2 linked regions of the Lonchura striata genome follow. The protein of the gene in region 2 interacts with the protein of the main gene of each other region in a biochemical or structural test. Links are inferred from orthologs where the notes say so. Each region holds a gene or a part of one and is shown on either strand. Other genes may lie near its edges.

Evidence for each region.
Region 1: the proteins of ECT2 (region 2) and RACGAP1 form a complex in vitro, tested with the Homo sapiens proteins (3 studies listed by BioGRID and IntAct, with this or other methods). The link is inferred for Lonchura striata from reciprocal best matches to the Homo sapiens genes ECT2 and RACGAP1.

What each region holds. Positions count from the first base shown.
Region 1 is NC_134629.1:8,760,882-8,771,888, forward strand, and holds the start of RACGAP1 (rac GTPase-activating protein 1), read right to left. Parts: upstream 4,425-11,007; 5' UTR 4,366-4,424; intron 2,953-4,365; 5' UTR 2,949-2,952; coding exon 2,864-2,948; intron 2,384-2,863; coding exon 2,181-2,383; intron 1,845-2,180; coding exon 1,708-1,844; intron 1,507-1,707; coding exon 1,437-1,506; intron 1,224-1,436; coding exon 1,170-1,223; intron 466-1,169; coding exon 388-465; intron 290-387; coding exon 172-289; intron 15-171; coding exon 1-14.
Region 2 is NC_134612.1:22,322,373-22,332,503, forward strand, and holds the start of ECT2 (protein ECT2), read right to left. Parts: upstream 4,977-10,131; 5' UTR 4,967-4,976; coding exon 4,837-4,966; intron 3,866-4,836; coding exon 3,786-3,865; intron 3,685-3,785; coding exon 3,592-3,684; intron 2,688-3,591; coding exon 2,505-2,687; intron 1,973-2,504; coding exon 1,883-1,972; intron 958-1,882; coding exon 850-957; intron 1-849. UniProt on the Homo sapiens protein: Guanine nucleotide exchange factor (GEF) that catalyzes the exchange of GDP for GTP. Promotes guanine nucleotide exchange on the Rho family members of small GTPases, like RHOA, RHOC, RAC1 and CDC42.

The sequences.
Region 1 (11,007 bases), on a different chromosome or scaffold from region 2:
GGGCTGCAGAGGACCTGGAAGACACAAGAGGAAGAGGCTGGAATCACCCTCTGCCCCCAGACACATGAGCATCATAAATTAGAAGCAGTTCCCAGGTCCTGGCAGGAATAACAAACATTTCAGGATAACCTGTGTAGATGTGTCAGGACAGGACAGGGATGTTACACCTACCACTCTTCCTCCGGCTCCTCCGAGGGTAAGGCATTGTCTGGATGGTAGAAATGGCTTCAATTGGGCCACCATCGTTGGGGACCATCACAGTGGTCTTTGCTACTATGGATTCATTAGCCTGGAATGACAAATACACCAGTGACAGAACTGCTGTGGCCCCGGAAAGAGGCAGGAACTGTGACCAGGTGTACACGAAGCCAGCTGTGACCACCATACCTGGTCTGCTGTGTTGCTGATAGATCTGGATTTCTTCTGAGGAGCTGGGGGGCCTTCAGCAAACTGCCTGGAAGAGCGCTGAAAAGAGAGCACATTCTTTTCTCAAAGCAGGAATGCTGTTCACTTGGCATTACACTGGCCCAGGATGGCTAGAAGGACTGAACACTTCATGCATCTGTGGTGTGTGCTGACAAGTCCTTCAGGGGTACTGCTTCATGGCAACCTTGGAGGTGCCAGAAGAATTAGTGAAACTCTTTCAAATAATTTTCCTAGCCAGCTTCATCATTCAGATCAGAAAAAAAAGAAACTGGACCTAAGGAAGGAGGACAAAAAAGCCCCAACAAACCCATGAACTACACACAAAAAAAACCAGCAATTAAGCAAGTCCCAGACTCTTCCCAGCTCCACTAGGTGATGGTTTCATGCTCTTTCTCACCTGTATCTTCTGCAGATTAAAGCAGAATGAGCACAAGCTCCTTTACAAAATAGAAAAATGTAGCTTCCTACACCATTTTCCCCTAATCTGGGAGCTGTTAATAATCTCCGAGTGTTTTCTTGCAAACCCCAGACTGTAACAGCACAGGATATACTAAACTCCACTTATTTTCAGTAAACAAATGACTTCAGACCTAAATTTCAATCTAAACCCCCACAGTAGGAGCACAAGGTCTGTTTTCAGTGGCTCAGAGGTCACTACAGGTGGCTGTGAGGTGACAGATGGTGGCATTGTGGCAGCCAGGGGGAACAATGGAAACTATGTGACAGGAACAATTGAACAATACCCGCTTCTCTCGCCTCTTCAGCCTGACAGCTTTCACCACCGAAGAATCCCAGTCCTGGGGGAAAGACACAGCATTGGTTAATGGTAAATACCACACAGCCCCTGGCCAGGGCTTTCATCAAACTTTAGCCAACAGCAGGCTCGGAAATGCAAATCAGCTCAGCCAGGTTAATATCCCAGTAATCTAAACACAAAGGGTCTCTGGAGATCAACCCCCTCCCCTCGGGCTTTACAGGGGAGGAGAACTTGAGAAATGGAGTTACATTACCAGTGAGTCATCGCTCTTGTCAAAGCTGATGTCTGACAGAATTGAGCCAGATTCATCTATTGTAGACAGCCTAAAAAAACACAAATTAGAAGAAGCTTGTATCAGTTTGGCTTTCAGTCAGTCACGGTTCCAGAACAATCCCACTGACTCAGAAGAGCCGTATTTTAAAGTGGAACAAAAAGGGAAACTGCTGACATGGGTGCAGGATGTGTCACAGGGGCCGACAGCTGGATTGATGCCTGACACTTCAGATGAAATGCTGTTTCCCTACCTTTTGTTGCCTGCACTTCCCACTGAAGCCTGTGGCCTGTTCAGGAAGGCGAGGACAGACTTCTGCTCCTCGCTGAGCTGGATGCTGCCGGAGGCATCACACATGAGCAGCTCCCGAATCAGCTGGATTTGCCTCTCCTTCAAACAAAGATAATATCAGCAGCTGGATACACCGTGTTTAATTACTGTAAGACCCGACCCAGCGCTTGAGATAGCCGAGATAAGCTCTCAGAACTTGTGTCAATGGACTGCTAATGGCTGCAGACAGGTAATGGCAGCTAGGTTCCATCAGCAGCCAGTCTCCTTTCCCAGATCAAAGCAGCAGGCTGCTCCGAGGAGCCGAGCCAATTCCTTGCTTTTTAGTTTTCCTTTCCTCCCCATGGGTGCCAGTCCTTATTTGCCACTGATCAGTGCAGTTTAATCGCCTTGTCTCCACACTCTCAAGAGCTGAGGGGTAACACAGGAATTACTCACCAGCTTCTCACAGTCCATTTCAGCTTTTTGCCTCCTTTTGATCTCCACGTCCACCTGATTGCGGGCATGTTTCAGTTTCACGTCCAGGGCACTGCGTTCAGCTTCTGTCTTCATGAGGCGATCTTTGCACCTGCTGAGCTCCTCCTCTATTTTCTGCCATTTCCTCCGGTTCTCCTCAAAGTTCTTGGCTAACTGAATAAACTCTGAGGAGAAAGCACATGAAGCCTTAGCTGGGCAAGCAGAGGAGCAGCTAACAGCAGCTTCACAAAGAATCCCTGGATTCCTGAGGTTGGAAAAGACCCAATCCCCACCTTGTCACCCAGCCCACAGCACCACGTCCAGCCATTCCTTGGACACCTCCAGGGATGTGTCCAAACCTCCCTGGGCAGACCCCTCCAATCCCCAACTGGCTTTTCCAGGAAGACATTCTTCCTCCTGCTCCCAACTGAGGCATGGAGAAGCCAGCCACACAAGAGATGGCCATGAGCTCTTCCATTTCTCATTTTTTTCTTCCTTTCAGCACCACCCAGAAGAGCTGGAACACAGGACAAAGCCAGTTTGCTACAAGCAGAACGTGACCCTGCATGGAAATTCAGCTGGGACTTGATGTTTCTCCACAAAGGAAGAGCCCAGATCAGTCTGGTTTTAGCATCTTCAGCAGATTCTTCAGGGACAAAACTCACGGCATTCGTTTCCTTCGCTCAGAAGCTCGGCCTGGCGCGTGAGATGCTCGTACAGACCCCGCAGGTTCACCATGGCAATCTCCATCCTCCTGCCAAAAAAACACAGCTGAACAAGCAGCTCAACCCTTCCCTCCCACCTCCGAGCAGAAACCAGCCCAAAGGAAAGAGAACCAGCCTCAGAGTTACTGGTTGTAATGCTTTCAGGCGGGTTTGAGAAGCTGCACAAACAAAATTCATGTTTTATGGAGATATATGCATCTACTTTTTCTCATTGGGAATGAAAATCTACAGCCCTCCACGGTTTATGGATAACAGAGCCTTGGAGAGAGGCAGATCTGCCCACCTTAGTGCTTCCACTGTCCCGCGGCACAGCAGAGACACTCACAACCCAAGGCAAGATGAGGGATCCCAAGTCCTTCCCTTCAGAAAGGTTACAGAACACAGCCCATGCCCTGCCCACAAATAACTTGGTACTATCTAGGCCACTAAAAACCTGCAAGTTTTCAGCACTTTGTAAGATAAAAATAGGAGCAACATTCCGGGGAATTTTAATACAGTTTTATATTTAGCTGCATTTTAACTTACAGCTCCTCCTGCAAATAGCTGTTAAAATTCAACCAGTCAGCACATTTCTCCCAAACAGCAGCAACAACGGCATAAACAGAGGCAGCGAAGGGGAAAGTCTCCAGCTCAGCAAGACAGAAATGATTTCACAAATGAGAGAGGAGCAGGCAGGGCACCAGGGGCTGGGAAATGAGCGAGTGCTGGAAGGCTTGGGAGAGGTGCAGGGCACATAAACCTGCCAGCACAGAAGGCTTTGGGGTACCTGTTCCACAGGTACAGACTTCACAGGGGCATCAACACCTCGATACTTTAATAGGTGCAATACGAGGCGAGAGGAAAAGCTCTGCCCCCGTCGTGCGAACGCACAGCGCGGGGCACGCCCAGCTCGGTGCCTCAATTACCAGCACCAGCATCACCATCATCACCAGCATCACCATCACCACCATCACCGCGACCCCCGAGGCCGCAGGGACGGGAGCAGCCCGGCCCGTACAGCGCCCTCCGAGCCGGGCGGCCGGGGCTGCGACAGCGCCGGGATGGAAGGGCCTGGGCGGGCCCGGGATCCTTCCCCCCAGGGCCCCCCTCAGCCTTCAGGATGCCCCGCAGTCCCCTCAGCCCCGGTTCCTCCGAGCCGGTCCCCGCACTCACCCGAGCCCCTCAGGCTCCCCCGAGCCCCCGGTTCCTCCGAGCCGGTCCCCGCACTCACCCGAGCCCCTCAGGCTCCCCCGAGCCCCCGGTTCCTCCCAGCCGGTCCCCGCACTCACCCGAGTCCCTCAGGCTCCCCCGAGCCCCCGGTTCCTCCCAGCCGGTCCCCGCACTCACCCGAGCCCCTCAGGCTCCCCCGAGCCCCCGGTTCCTCCCAGCCGGTCCCCGCACTCACCCGAGCCCCTCAGGCTCCCCCGAGCCCCCGGTTCCTCCCAGCCGGTCCCCGCACTCACCCGAGCCCCTCAGGCTCCCCTCAGGCTCCGGCGCCCGGGCCGCGGCTCCGGCCCCAGCGGCGCGCGCAGCCCCAACGGCCCCGCGCTCCGGTTTGAATCCGCGCCGCCAGCCAATCGCCGCGCGCCCCGGCTCCCCCCGTCCCCTCCCCCTGCCTCTCGTTGGCTGCGCTCAGTGGGCTCCTTGAAGCCAGCCCGGTGCCATGTCTGCTGAGGGCGCGGTCTGCCTGCCCGGCGGGGCGCGGCTGCCCGCGCGCTGAAGCCGCCCAGGTGCCATATTTTGTGATGGCGGATGGTGCCAGCGCTCGTTGCTTAGCAACGGGGACGCCGGGAGGGCCCGGGACCCTCAGGCCTGGGCCTGCTCCGTGCCCACCGCTCCAGAGGGGCTGTTCGGGGCAGGAAAAGCCCTTCTCAGGCCAAACCGGGTTGTTATTTCCAGCAAAGCCACGGGCGCAGGGCTCGTGTGGGCCTGAGCGCCCCGTGCTGGTTCTGCAAAGGGTCAGGGCAAGGGGCTGGGTGCAGCGGGAGAACGTTGAAATTCACCGTGAGGCTGTTTATGGGGTGCTGTCACTTGAGAAATACAATGCTTTGCCTGCTCCTCGTCTCCAAACTTTGATTTGAGTAACAGCCGGCAACTTGCGCCAAAGGCAAAACCCATTTCAAGCCACGTATGACTCTTCCCTGTGCAGGCGTTTAATATGCAAACAGATAAAACCCAAACCCAACAATTACACAAAGGGAATTCACATAATCATAAAATAACAACGTGCTTTAATCTTTTAAATCTGAAACAAAACAGCGGGTAATTGAAGAATGGATATTAGCAATTAGAAAGCGGAACTAAATGCTGAAAATTGCGCAGTGGAAAAGGGAGTTTGTAAAGCAGATTGCTCTCATCATCCAGCTGCTTTGTTGGAACTGCTTTATTTAGGGTATATAGTTTGTTTTAACTTAATAATAATTAATTTGTAATAGATTGTAAAAAGCCTTAGGATCTTTGGGAAAGTAAATGTTACTGAGGCTTCCTTGAAGAAGAGAGCCAAAATTATCCACATTTATAGGGGAACTGAGGCCTAGAAGAGACACAACTCATCCTCAGAGCCAATGGCCAAGCGAGAGAAAGGTCCTGACCTTGACGTATTAACTTTTAGTCCAGGAAATCACCCAAAATCCCAATTTGCCCCTGAAGTTGGAGGTTGACAGTTACACCTGGCTCTGTGCAGGTACATCCCCCCAATTGTGATGAGGCTCGGCTGCTTCAGCCCCGAGTCTCCTGCAGCTCCTGCCTGTAATTAAATCTTCACAGCTAAGATGCCTCTATTGGCAGATTGTATTTATAGGCAGGCGAGTTGTTTTAGTGTCGTTCTGAAGAGTTAAGGAGGCTTTTTGCTCATAAGCAAATTCTGTTCTCTTTCAAATCGTCATCCGCAATCTCGTGCCAATAAAAAAAAAAAAGCACATTATTTTAGATTATTGCCCCCGCGGTGCTTGTTGTGCGTTACTGCAGTAGGTGCTGGGCTTGTGTTACACAAATTGCATTTCTTCCATATGTGTTCCACCATCGTCCTCCCTCTGAATCGGGAGGGCAGCAGGATCTGAGCACCCCAAAAAGCTTCTCAGAACTGCCCCAACCTGTGCTGTGGACCTGGCAAATGGGCCCCTGCTCTCAGGCCCAGGCTCTAAAACCATTGTGGAGTTTCTTTCCTCCTCCTTGGTTGATGAATGATGAGAGCACAGAGATCAGCAGCACCTTTCCTTTGGAGCTTTATTCCACAGGAGAAGAAAGGCAGAAGGACTGAGGGCCTTTTCAGGAGCTGCTTTATGGCAAAGTAATTATATTCTCTTTTTGTTTGTGTCAGGAAGAGGGGGGGAGAAGCCTTGAAATGTCTCATCTGGGAAACCGTTAATAGAATTTATGCTAATTTGATGATTCCGGCGATTACTGGCGGAAGCACTTCACATTCTCAGGCAGCAGAAATTCTCCTCCAGCTCCTCCCTCAGCCTCGCTGGGTTGCTCTTCAGCCCTTTCTCCTCCAGCCACCCCAGACCCTTCTCTGGGCAACACCGGCTGAGCCCGGAATGTGACCCTGGGATGAGACCCCAGGATGTCACCAGGATTGGTGCTGATGCCAGTGGCATTCCCTGGTGACCCCATTCCTCAATTTTTGGGGAAAATGGAAGGAAACCTGCCCCAGTGCCTCGCAGTGTGCGCAAAGAGCAAAGCCAAACCTCTCCCTGCCAGCCTCATCCTCTGGTGAAGCTTTGCAAACACCGATTGCTCTGCCCAGCTCCTGTAATTAACTCTGCAATTGCAAACCCATTTGTGCAGCTTTGTGCACAGGGGAAACCTTTATTAAGTTCCTTTTAATCCAAAACCAGTTAGACCACGATGGTCTTCATAAACAGTCATTCAAAAAATAAAAAGGCAGGGGGAAGCGAGGGGAATGAGAAACTTTAAGACAGCAACCTTTCTCCAGGGAAAAAAAATGGGGGGAAATTATCTTAGGTGCATTTCTCTTGGTTCATTCATACAGCAGGGGTGTTAAAAAGGAGTTGTTCAGTAGTGTGAGGAAAAAATCCATCAGGCTGGGCAGGGGGGGCAGTTGGAGTTTAGCCAGAGGGAGATGGACCTTTTAGAGAATTAATTTCTGATTTCTCCTGGCTGGCCAGAGCCAGAGGCCGGCAGATGGCATCAGGCTCATGTGCTGGGTGGGAGCTGCAGGGCCTCGGCCATCCCTCAGCTGGGCAAAATGTGGCCAGAGCATCACCCACGGGGGCTGGCAGGAGGGGAATGAGGAGCCCATGGGGTTTGTAACGAGGGGATAAAGGAGCCCATGGGGTCTGTGGGGAGGGGGATGATGAGACCATGGGGTCTGTGAGGAGGGGGAAAAAGGGGCTCTGGTTTTGCCATCAGTCCAGCAACAAACCAGGTTCATCTGTGATGTCCCACCTGAGAGAACCCGGGATGTTTCTTTCATCAACTTTGGGGTGAAGATCACTTGGATGGGATGAGCCAAACCCACCGGTGCATTAATGCCAGCAGAGAAGCCACGGCCTTACCCTGAACTCCTTAAAAAACAAAGGGAGTCTCTATTGCCTTCATCTGGCTTTTAATGAATGACCTCTTGTCGCCGGGAGCTGCGTGCGGTGACAAAGGACCTCTGTGGGCCGATATTTATGATTTCATTTAAGCCGGGGAGTAAGCTAAGGGAGAGGGCTGGGAAATAAAAGCTGAGCTGATGGTTCTGTCTTTAAACTCAAGGGATCTTTATCTAGTTTTTGTATTAATACAGTTGTCATCTCTTAAATATTTGAGCGACTCACAGCCATGAACGCTCCCACGCCGGAGGGACTCATTGACTCCGGCTCTCCCAAGCCCACACCCTCCTCTGGACCCAAATGCTGGGAGCAGGGAAGGGTTTGCATTTTCTCAGTGCCCCCCAAACCCTACCCACACATGAAGCCTGCTGTGAGTGCCCACGACCTGCTTGTGGGGGGCCCCGGGCTCCAACACCCCTCCCCACACCAGCGACTTGCCAACACTGATAAATTTTTGCCTTTTCCTTCGGCAGGCCTTGGTGGAGGATTAAACAGCTGGGAGTCGGGAGTGAGAGCGTGTCCCCTCTCCTTTGCCATGCAAACAGAGAAAATTAATCTTCCAGCTTCCTCTGATATTTGGGCTGAATTACAAGCTGGGAGCGGAGATAAAGCGCGGGCGAAGGAAGGCACAGGTACAGCGGAGCCAGGCTGCTGGCACAGGCCTTTGTCCATGCAGATAACGCTCCCCTCCTGGAGTCATGCATAATTCACCAGCCTGCCTCCCTGTCCTGGTCATCCCTCCCTCCTCTTGCTCGCTCTGTTCTCCCTGAGCAGCTGGAAGCTCCATGTCCGAGCGAGCCATCGTGTGTTTGTGTGCAGAGACACATCAAATCTCCCTGACAGCATGGGTCTTGTTGGGACAAAGGTAAAGGGACCTTGTGCCCTCTGCCTGGAGGCTGATGGAGCTGTGGGTGACACCTGTGCTGGCATGGGACACTGGTGTCACCCTGCAGTCACACCTGCAATCCATCCAAGGCACAGCAGCACGCCCGCTCCTGCCAGGGCCGGGGCTGTGTTTGAGATGCCCATCACATCCCAGCTGTGCTAACCACACTATCTCCCTAAATCCCTCCACGTTACACTTGGAGAGAGGTTACATCCTCCGGGATACCTGGCCCAGCATTAACAGACACCAACTGCATTTTATTTGGTCGATCATCCGGAGGCTCTTGACAGAACTGTGCCACACAGAGCGGGAAAGCCATGGAGGTTTTCCACAGCCACCAGGAGTTCCTCTCCCAGAACAAAACAAGAACAACCTCGGTCACTCCCAGCCAAACAGCAAACAAACACACACACACACACACACCTGCTTAATGATTTTTGCTTTGTAAACCAAAGCGGTGCCATGAGTTTAATAACCACTGCTTGGGAGTAATTGGGGCGATTATTGTATGGCCCAGGGGGAAAATTGCAGCTTGTTATCTCCAGGGAGTAGCATTAGGATCCAGCAGATAATCAGACCGTTATTTGTTGCACTTCAGAATGACATTTCTCATGGATTTAAAAACGATAGTGATCAAGGCATGTTGTCAGAGCCACTGCCAAACTGCAGAGTCCAGAGACCTGGAAGCTAAATAGCACCTGGAGCTGCCTGGGACAGCTGCTCTTCCAGCAGGAATAACAGACTTATGTGCCACATTGAGCTCAAAGGCATCCAGACCTCAGCAACACTCGTCTCTTCTTTACTTTGAGATTCTCATAAGAGAGACAACACTCAGGATGAGGATGCAAAGGGAGGATATCAGCTCTAGCATGCCACCAACCAGATCTATACTCATACTCGGGTTTCTGTGAGACCTTCCCTCCTGTTTCTCCCTCTCCACCCCAATCAATGGCCTCTGCCTGTGCCCTCACCTCCAGCAGCACTGAAATTTGAGGCTTGGGCAGGAGCTGCAGCATCATTGCTGTTTTCTGCATGGTCCTGCAGAGACAGCAGCGCTGGGCACCTTCCCTGTGCCACGACCCCATCGGTGACACATCTTCCTAAGATATTTGTGCACCCCCAACAGCAGCAGCTTTTAGCCCCTCAAGGGTTTCTGAGCTGGGGGAGGCACTTCCAGCAGAGACACAGCGGTGACACAGTTCCCAGTGACATGGTCCCAACAGCTCCTGGCACCCCACACCGTGCTCACCCAGCTCCCACGTGCAAAGTGGGTTTTTAGCAAGGCTAAACCCTGCCAGAACCCCTGGCACACTCTCTTTTGTATGTTTGCTGAACAGGAGCATCCCCAAATCCTGGCTTGGGCTCTGCTCCCAGGGATGGGCTCACAGATGACACGGCAGCACCTCAGTCCCAACATGACGCCAGCGACGAGGATCCTGCCAGGCCTGGAGAGCTGAGCCAAGGCAGCTCCGCTATTGATCCCCGATCAATGACAGCTCAAGGCCTGGAAATGACAGCGCCTTTCCCCATCCTCAGCTCCCAGCCCAGGCTGGAGGCTCACACAGAGGTTTAGCAATAATCCGAGGCAGCAGTGGGGATGGGAAGAGCCTCTTGCAGCAGGTGGGTTGTTCAACAAATTGGACACATAACGAGACAAAAGGCACAGAGGAAGGAGATCTGGTGGGACCGGACCTTTATCTCTGGCACGCTGGCCGCCAAATCTTTGTGCAATATTTATCAAGGGTGAGCGGACAGGAGAATTGGCAGTCGATGCATAAGTGAGGAATTAAAGCCACTGCCATCCTTATCTCCCCGGCAGAGCAGCGAGGGGAAGGGTGGGCGGGAGCTGCGAGCCAGCCCAGGGCAATCGACTTTGAAACCATTTGTGGATTTAACGAGTCCAAACTTTATTAGCTCAGCTGAAGGGGAGCAGAGCAGAGGCACCAAGAGGGCAAACCAGCACATCCACATCCTCGGGCTGCCTGAGCTGAGCGCTGCCTCCGGGCAGGCATTTCCACTGGAAAGTCTCTTGTGTCACTGATCAGACATTGCACGGCTGGGGGACAGGGCAGAGCCGCCCCAGAGGCTCCAGGTAATGGGTCTGTGGTCTTTCAAGCCGAGTTAAAATTCACTTTTAAACAGAGGAGCTGCTGCACTTTCTCTCCTAGTTTCTCTCAGCAGTGAGACAAGGGCAGACCATGCTCTGCCCTCGGGATAGTCACGTTTTGCACGGTCAGAGGCGCAGCTAGTGGGGAGAGCAGACACTCCTCGGCACTTCCAGCCACCCTGTGCATCTGCCCCAGGAGACACAGCCGGGAAAAGCACAGGGGAAGGGATGATAGAGCCCCCATAACCACAGAGCTCCAAGCCAGTCCATCGAGGGGGTTTGTGCACGAGCCATCCCCAGGGAGGGCAGCTCAGCCCCCGGCCGGGGGCTGCGGATGGCGAGCAAAGGGCTGCTCCATTGCCAGCATCCCCTGGGAATCCCCAGTGATCGCATAACGGCTGTAATTAACTCGATTATTGGCTTTTCTTTTGCTGAGACTGCACGTTCAAGATGGGCTCCATCTGCTCCTTGCATGGGCCTGGCTGCCACGGGAGGGGACAAAGCCCCTCCTTCCAGAGAAATGTGTCATTTCTGCCGACAGGGGACAAGGACA
Region 2 (10,131 bases):
CCTTCATCAGTCACAAAAACACAAAATCACATCTCTGCTCCAGTGGAATATGGGATCTTTTTTCTGTTTTTGATACGTTGAATGAAGAAAAACACCCCTGCTTTTATCAAAGAGAAAGCAACTATTTGAAAAGTAACTGCCTTAACTGCTTGAGAGACTGTACAGTTTTCATACATTTTCCCCTTTGAGTTGGCAGAAAGGAGTGTTTGAACAGAAAGTAGGACTTCTCTTCAAACTGCAAGATTATAAAGACAAAAAAGGGGAAAAAAAGCAACACCCTACCAACAATTCAAACAAGGGAGAGTGAAGGGACTTAGACACTGCTATGTCATATTAAACAGTACAAAAAACTATAATCTGTTATTTACTTCTAGAACACAAATGTCCCAAATGATTCCCTTTTAGAATCCAAAAAGAAAAAGCATACTCAGGTCTATTTATGTATAAAGGAATATTTGAATCCTCACCCACAAGTTAAAAATATTTTTTTTAATCATATGTACCAATTAAGGACTAAAGTTTTTTACAAGCTACCTCAAAGTTGATTGTTTGGACAGACAAAAGCAGGCATTTGTTCATCACTGTCTTTACTACTGGTAGCATCAATACTTAACCCTTTGGAATCTTGTTATTTACTATACTTGTCTATTTCAAATGTATGTTATTTAGCTCTCCCACAGAGACAAAAACATGCCAAAGTTCAACACCAGACAGATTAATTGATCATTACAAGTTATTTATGTTAGTACAGGAAAAAACAGCAGCTTCTGAGCTGAAGTATAAAGAACAAAGAGTCTACAAAAGCCAAATTCCAAAGGTTTCTATGAAACACAACTCAAGCTTACATACTCTGAATTTGTCTCCATGTGTTGAGTTTGCCACCAGATGAGTAACTTTTGAGCTAAAGTCCCTTCGAATAATTCCACCCATATGATGAACCAAGGTCACAAGTTTAACCTGTAAAATGAAGATGAAAAGTTTTAAGTATCTTTTGAAGAGCAAGTTCAAAAAGTGGTTTACAAAGCAAGTTACAGAAGGTTATATTAAATGTCTAGAAATAGAAATACTCTGATCTGTTCTTAAAACAACTTGTTCACATCGACAGAAGATATGGCTTATACATCAAAAGAACTATTATGATTTATTTTTATTTCAACATTTAGTACAGCCTTGCTGTGTAGCCTGAAGACTATCCAAGCCATCAGTAGTCTCATGATCATCACACATAATGCCTTCACCTTTTCCCACATGTTAAATTTTATATTTTCCTTGCTGATTTAGACAATTCTAGATCAAACCTAACTAACCCAAATACCAGGCAAAAGCTTTTGGTTTGGATTTGGTTTTTTTCTGATGAAGATATGGAGCCATATTGTTGATTCCCAGGTGTCTAGGAGGAAAATTAGATGGCAAGTGCCTACTGAAATGGAAAAGCAAAGTCCTAGAGTATCAAACAAAGACTAAAGTCCTGATAGCACAATATCATGACAAGATAACATGCCTGCAAGTGCTATGAACAGAGCTACAAAGATTTACTTGCCCATTCTACCACCTGTACAAAAAAAGAGGACACTACTGGGTAAACATCTTATCTGAAACCTCAACTTACAAACCTTTAAGCCCTATTGAATTACAGCATTTTAATGTCACTAAACAAAAAATTGACCAAAAATGACACAGATAAAATGACTTGAACTAAGTTTTGCTCCCATTCTCAAATATCACTGCCTCTGGACTTGCAAAAAAAACAAAAGAACAAACAATTTATTCTCCCCATAAAAGCCTGAGCCATGGTTAAACCCTATGGGCGATGGAACAGAAGAGTATCTTGAAAATATATTTAACATGGTTTTACCAATCCTAAGAAGAATAAATTACTTACTAATTCATCTTTCTTTCTGAATCCTGTAAAGCACAGTACCAAGTTCAACATACTTGCACAGTACAGTGGACGGCAGGAGAAAGGTAAAGGCTGTAAACAAGAAGAAAGCTCATGCGTCAACAGCATACTGCACTCATTAAAGTTTTCACATTACCTTTAATATATTACTGTTATTTCTAATATTAAAAATCCATCAGACACTAGTCCAGGTCTGTGGTTATACCTTTGCTCCAGGCCTGCTGATAAAGTAATTAGAGCATCCCCAAGTTCTACAGATAGTACTCCATCCTTTTATTTCCTCCCCAATCCATCTGCTCCACCTTACAACTTTTGTAAATATAAAGTGATTACTGGAGATTCATTTGTATGCTGCCTTTCCTAACAGCACAATCCCAACTGGTGATCAACAACTCCCACAACTTCAGCAGCACTCAGAGCCCTACCACTGTCTGACTGCACCCTCTCACTATGTAAAATATTCTAACACAGCGTTAGTAACTTGCTTTTCTTAAAATTCTCTTGCTAGGAATGTTTATAACCGATTGGAAGAGCAAGAGAGATTTTACTGTGAACTCGCAGAACTCAGTGCAGCAGGGAGCTGACTGCAGCAGGAAGCACACACCTCTCCTTTCTGTGCACAGTGCAGCAGGACTGGCGGCCCGATGATTCTGCAATCCGCCTTGCAGAGGCTGCTGAAGACGGGAGCTTGGAAGTCGGACACGACGAAGATCGTCTCAAATTCCGGGGAATCAGAATCTCCAAGCTCTTCTATCGTGTCTGTCTTTATGTAGGGTGTTTTAATTTCCTTGAGGCACAGGGGTGAAAGGGAAAGCATTATTCAGACAACACACTTGCACCAGTGTAAAATTCAAATAAGGTTTATTTTGGACCATTAGAAAAATGTGATTCGTATTTCAGAAACAGAGTTAGGATTTGTAAAAGCTGAATGCAATGCACTCTTCTCTAGCATAAGAATAGCTATGAACTGCTGCATGTTTTACGACTGAATGTCAAAGTAATTTCTGCTTTTGAAGAATCAGAATTCCAGTTGTTTAAGCAGTTTATGTATCAGTTCACACTGACAATGTAGCACTGGAATGAGCTAGATAGAAAAAACACCCTAAGCTCAAAAGATAAATGAAATTTCAGACTGTCAGAACAGCTTAGGGTACTGTAGGATGCTACTAAAAAGCAGCATCCAGTTGGTAACAGCAAGTTCCATGCTGCACAGCACCTACAGAACAGAAATAGGTTTTGTTAATTGCTTTATATTTTTAAGGGGTTAAAAAAATTTGTCCATTCAATTTTCAAACACTAATTCCAAACTTTATCTCTTATGTCTTTCACATCAAGAAATGGAAAAGCATTTCTTGCACTTCAGTTTGAATGCAGCTTTCAGCTGAAAGAGATATCCATTGACAATTACAAAGCCAGTTCATAGCACAAACTTATGTGTGACTGAACACAAGCATGCAGCTGGATGTACCCATGGATATTGTGATGCCCCTGTTAGAAAACACCACTAGATAAGAGCTATAAGTATCACTCCATATTTTTAAAAAGTGCTAATTTTGATTAGCTGTGACACCATCAGAATCATTAGCATATATTATGACCATTATGCCAAATTAATCCAAATTAAAGCATTTCAGTCCCAGTGAAGTGTAACATGCTGCATGCAATTACATGTGCTGAATTGCATGACATACCATATGAATAATACTTTTTATTAGTTTTTCTTCTGATTTATCAGGGCTACTTTCCTTTATCTTTATAACAGGTACTTCCATTATCTTAATGGTCTGTGGAAGAGGAGAACTTTAGTCCAGAAGCAAATTGGTTACAACAAGTCTGAAAGCATAACATGTCCTTCCAGTGACTGTTTTATCTCAGGCCCACATACCTCCAAGGCTTTGAGAAGCTCCTCACGTTTCCCTGCTTCCTGAACCAAAACCACTCTTGTTTCTATTTGAGGCATTTCTTCTGCTTAGAGAGAAGCAAGGATAATATTTGTATTTTAGCAGAAAAATCTACGTCATGTCAAAATCAAGCAATAATGTATACAAGAATACAAGTAGCCTTTCAAGATTCCTTATCAGGAGCAATCCTGAAAATAACAGTTACTTCGAGAAGAGTGTCCTTCAATTAAGGCATACCAAATTGACTTAGAGCCCAAACTTTCAAGTATGAGGTGAAACAAGAATCTGCAATTCATGACCAGTCAAAGCAAGAACACAAATCAAGGGGTAGGGAAGAGGAAAGAAAACACGCAAATGAAAACTCAAAAAAATTACAGGCTAAATGCTTTTAGCAGAATTAGATACCGAGATCTGCTGGAAAATAGCCAGCTGGTATCTTGTCTAGTTTCTGTGTTCATTACTTTGTTGGTAACTGAGCAGTTACCAAGAACATCAGAACTGAAATTAGATGTTCTTTTTTAACAGGTATTAGTAAGGCTTCGAAATATTAGGAGGAAGAACAAGCATTGCCTCCACATCATTTACATCAACAGACCACCAGCAGATTTTTGGCTACTACCTTGGAAGAAAACATTGGTGATTGTTACTTAATTTCAAGATTTGTTCTTGAATTAATTTTGGGTTTAAGACTACTAATCTCTTCACCTCCCTACCTTATACGTATTAATCTATCCAAAACCGAGCAGCTGCCATTTCCAAACACTGGTATCAAAATGTCACCTGGAGTGATTTTTTCCACAGAAGAGGCATCAAATGGAACTGACAGCTTTCTGTATAATAGCCAGAAAATTCATTCAATTTGGGCTGTAACATCAAACTTTCTTAATGAAATTATCCCAGATCAACACCGTTTTCCCTACTCTATATACACTCTGGAGTTCAAAGTACTTTTGGTTTTTCAAAACTACTAAATACCAATGAAGTAATCAGTCATTGCAAAAAGCAAGCAGTCTTAAAATAACCTTCCCCCATTACCTTCAACATCCAGAACAGTTGCACGGAATACATTCTCTTTGGAAGTTTCTATAATTTTTGAATCAAGAACAGAAGAATCAGCCAAGAGGCTCCTCCCGGTTTCAGATACCAGAGTACTGCTGTCAGCCATGATTATGCTTTGTTTCTTTCTTCAACAGCTGGAAGGTGGAGGGGCCAAGCTCAGTTACAGGTGAAAAAGCTCATTCATAGAATTCTATTACCAAGGCTGTCAGAAGTGACTTCAGAAAACAAAATATTTAGGCTCTTACTGAATCCTACTCACACTGATAGAGCATCAAGAGGAACACAACTGATACAAAGGACTGACAACAAAGCTGTTACAGAAATGGTTCTGTAATTCATCAGCTCTGAGCACAGGCAAGCACAAACTCAAGTGCTCATTTAAAGAACCTTAACCACAAAGCACCAAACTAAAAGCACTTGTTTCTTTCAGTGACAAACTATTATAAGCTACAATTGAGACTAAAATTAGCATTGCTGATCTGAAACACTAGCAGAAGAATTTGGGTAAGCATAACATCTTGCTAAAAAGTGATTTTTCAGGTGAACTGGCTAGAAATACTGTGGTTAGAAATGAGCACCCAGATTTACTCTTAGAAAAATTATAAAAGCTTGAGATTCTTTGCAAAGTTGATATGCACATATATGTCTAGCTGCATGGTCTGGTTTACTGTCCTGCATTAACTGTGACAGAGTAGAAGCAGCCTTTCATTATTAGATAAAGAGGCCTCTCTCTCCTCTCAAACAGAACAGATCTGTGCTCTCCCTGCCCATCAGACCTGTCACCTACTGGAAAGGCAGAATCCTTAACCCTCTCATTTTCTGGGAGCTACCTACCCAAATCCTGCAGCACAAAGATTGCTCTCAGACACCTGCCCATTTTCGGTCACACACGAGGCAGGCAGGCTGCAGTTCCTGTGATTCAGCACACACCCAGATTTCATTGTTTGCACAGTGAGATCAGGAGTTACCTTGATCAGAGCAGCAGCTACAGCTGAGCTGCTGTCGATAATAACCCTTTGTAGCACTTGAACTGAAATCGTTCTTGTGACTGTGTGTGCCCTTTTAAACCAGCAGCTACTAAAATAACCCACTAGAGCATTGTCTGAAAGAGGGCTCTTGAGGCAGTAAAACCCCTAGAGAACAGCACATACTATTTTTTAAATTGTGTAATGACCATCCTATTACACAGCAAAGTCAGAAGACAAAAAAGCAATGGGCACTTTGGCATACCAGCAATACAGAAAAAACTTTATCTTCCAGACATCACATCTGGGACTCGTGGAAAGGATTCAAATCTTCATAATACACAAGTTCTTAATACAGTGATGAGCAATAACCAATTTACAAATCTATCATTCTAGACATATTCAGCTACCAGACATGCCACCTTAATTTCAATTTCAAGGTCACACACAACTGTACATCCTTGGAGCTGAGTTTCCTAGACCTAAGTCCCAATCACCCACCTCATTTTTCTCAGAGCAAGAGTAGAGAGTGACCTCAATCATAAAGAGTCTTTGGGGAATCACCTATCACCACCAGGAACAGTTCTACAGCTACCAGTTTTTTTGGCAGTAGTGGAGGGAGGTATAATCTTGGCAGATTCAAACCACATTGTTAATAATGATTACCACAAGGACAATTACAATGTAAATTCAGAAGAAAACAAGCCCTCCAGTTAGAGACACAACTAAACTTAAATCCTAGAAATTATTTCCTAGAAGTCTGAGACATCAGTACAGTTATTATTATACCAAGTAAAATGTCCATGAACTCACAAAGAACTTCATTTTGAAGAAGCCCAGACCTTGGTCTGGGTATTGATTTTCTTTATGGATTTTTCTAATTTATTTATTTCTGAGATTCCATCCTGGGTGTGTTTAAAAGCATTTCTTGTTTTAATAACAGCAATATTTTTTCATTAAACCCACAGACTGAAAGTGCCAGGATACAGAGGAGAACAAACAGCACACACAGACACGAACACAACAGTATTCCCTCATACAAACAGCAAAAGTCAGAACATCACTACAGGCTCCAGGCAAATCTAATACCCTCACAGCATCACACTCAGAAATTACCTCGCAATAATTTGTTGAAAGCCTGAAGGACACAAACCAAAATATGTTTGTTAAAGCAAGGACAGGACAGTAAACATCCCACGCTTCCCGAGGAACCACCCAGGAAGATTCCCGAGCCCTGTGCAGGGAGGTGGCCGGGGACGGGACGGGACAGGGCAGGACGAGGGACCGCCGCCGCCTCTCGAGCCAGCAGGTGCCGCCGGGCCCGGGGCTCCGCCCTGCCCACTGACACGGCGGCGGCCTGAGGAGCCCCGGGGCAGCGCCGGAGGCCCCACAGATGCCCGACACACCGACCCCGTTCCAGACAGCCCGCGCCCCCCGGCCCCGGAGCCCCCTCACCGCCGGTGCCGCCCGCCGCCATCAGCGGCCGCCGCCAATTCAAAAAGCGAGCCACCGCACTCACACCGCCGCCCATTGGCTGACGGCCCCACCGCCCCTCCGTAAGCCGCTCCCTCATTCGCCACAGCAGCAAGATGCCCCGCCTACCTGCCCTTCCTTTTCGCCAGCCCTGCGCCCCTGTCCCCTTCGATTGGTCGCTACAACTGCCACTCAGGCGGAGCGAGCCCCCATTGGCTGTGAGAGGTTTCTTGGGCACAGTGCTTGTTGCGGTACCAAGCGCAGGTTGCTGAGTGGCCGGGGTGGGGACGAGCTCTTCGCTGATTGGCTGCCGGGAGGGGCACGCTCTGCGCTGATTGGCTGGCGCAGGGTTCGAACGCTCGTAACGGTCGCGCTCGGAGACCCGGATGGAGCGGGCGGGGCGGGAGTGGCGCTGCCCTCAGTGCCCCTCACGGCCCCCTCACGGCCCGTAGTGCCCCCTCACGGCTCCTTCACTGCCCCTTCACAGCTCCCTCACGGCCCCGTGTCCAGCCGGCCTCCACGCCAACCCAGGGCACCAGGAGAAAGCCGCTGTGGTCACCGCAAAAACATTAATGCTGCTAAATAAGTAAAAAAAAAACCGGCTATCGGTGCGCCTCTCTTGCATTGAGTTTCAGAATAACCAGCTCGTAGGAAACAGGAGCTGCCGGGAAAATACGAGTGGTCAAGGTGAAAATCAACCAGCTGACTCCACGGCAGCAGCCCTGAAATAAATTGATTATGCCAAATGCTTAAGTCGTCCTTTTATTTTTAATTTTCCACGACAGCAGCCACGAAATAAATTAATTATACCAAGTGTTTAAGGCGTCCTTTTATTTTTAATTTTCCCCAATACTAAAGCTTACTGGTACAGAAAGGAATTCTTAGGAGCTCAGCATCCTGGAACCTGATGTAGCACAATGTTTCACTGCAAATGTAAACTCCCAGTGTAAAAACAATGAGAGATACATTTTTCTATTTCTATAATGTTCTATTATCTGTCAAACTGAACTCTTAGATGGTCCAATTTTTTTTTATACAACAAATTTTCTTCAGATCAGGCTTTTTCATGACTGATCCAGCAACTGTAAAAGCCCATTGACTTTTTATAATTTGAAAGAAAAAACAAAATAGGAAAAAGCATAGAAAATGGTAACGGGTGTTGTTTTTGTGTATATATTTGCTGATGAGGTTTACAGAAATTAGGACTATATTCCTGAGGAAAAGATTGCAGAATAACAGCCTGGAAAACAAGGAGGTCATTTCAATATTGACACTTGGGTCAAATTATTACACAATTACACAAGCCCTACAATTGCTTTATTTCACATTGACTAATTTCAATGATAACTTACAATCAAAATCCATCCCTGCCTGAGGTCCTTTTGTCACCTTCAAGTACCCACTTGGGCCATCATTTTGCAGTTCCACTCCGGGCCAGCTTTCACTGGATTTTCCACTGCACACTCTTAAAAAAGTCCTTTTCAGCCAGGTTTCCCCCACACCAGGGGTCAGGTTTCTCCTAGGTTTGCAACAAGTTCTGCAGTGCAGGAGTTAATATTACTTGTTTCTGGAAAAGATATTGGTGATTGCACATTAATTTTCACTTAATGTCAAGATCTCAAAAAAATAATAAAGTCTGTATAAAATGTGCTTGCAAAGACAGGAGAACCATATTTAATTGGACAAGGGATTAAGAGGTAATAAGAAGTAATGAGGCAATAAGATGCATCACTTCTCAGTTAAAAGTTTAAAAAATAATATAATCAATACCCAAATACATAAATAAATAAATAGAGGTGTGGTACATAAATAGAGGGTCCCTGTGCATTTGGGAGTGACTTGTATTAGCCTTTTTTCCAACATACTGAAAATCCAGAATTACAAACTGATAAAGCACTTTGGTTATTCTGGTGAACCTGGAGTCCCAGGAACAGAACATAGACAAATTTTAGGCATTAATCACTTAAAAAACATGGCTAAGTTGTTGGGTTTTTTAAGCAAGTGCATTTATCCTCACTAAAGAATAGTACAGGACTGATGACCAAATAATTACTATTTTTCATATGTCTGACATTTAAACATCAAAGTGCTTTTCTTATAAAAGGCTCGGAAATAGAAACACCCATTATTTTGTGTTCTGTGAAATGTAATAATATAACATGCAGCTGAAACCTGCCCTTCCTCCCAGTTAAGAAGGCATCAGTAACCCAGGAGTGTAACATTTATTTTGTAGTTAAATACTTTCTTCAAGCAGTGACACCCACAGGGAGAAAGTTTCAGGAGATTAAATCATTAAATAAATCCTGACACGACGCCTGCCTGAGAGCAGGGATCTCACACCTGTGGCAAAAAGACAAGGAGCCCACACTGGAAAAGCTGATGGAACCCCAGGAGGTCCAAGGAAACCTTGGTGCCCTGTGTTTCCCAGGAATTTTGGGTCCCAGGAATTTGGGGTCTCTTCCTTAGCTTCAGGGTGTGAGTTTACATAGGTAAACTGCCAGCCCCATGATGTCTTGCAAGCATCCTGGGGTTTCATTTATCTTTTACATTTTTTTTAACAAAGGGATCTTTCTCAAACCACAGTGGTTTGTTGTTGGTTTGGGTTGTTTTTGGGTTTTTTTTTCAATCAACTGACTTCTCTTTAAGCACCTGGAAGACAAGATTCCTCAAAGAGCCATTGATTCAGTTTAGCCAGCCATTTTCAGAATATGAGGAAGGGCAGAGATTAAGCACCAGATGTATGTGGGCAGCAGTTTTCAAAATACGAGGAAGGGGAGAGATCAAGCACCAGATGTATGTGGGGGGTCAGTGGGAGCATGAGAAACCTCAGAAA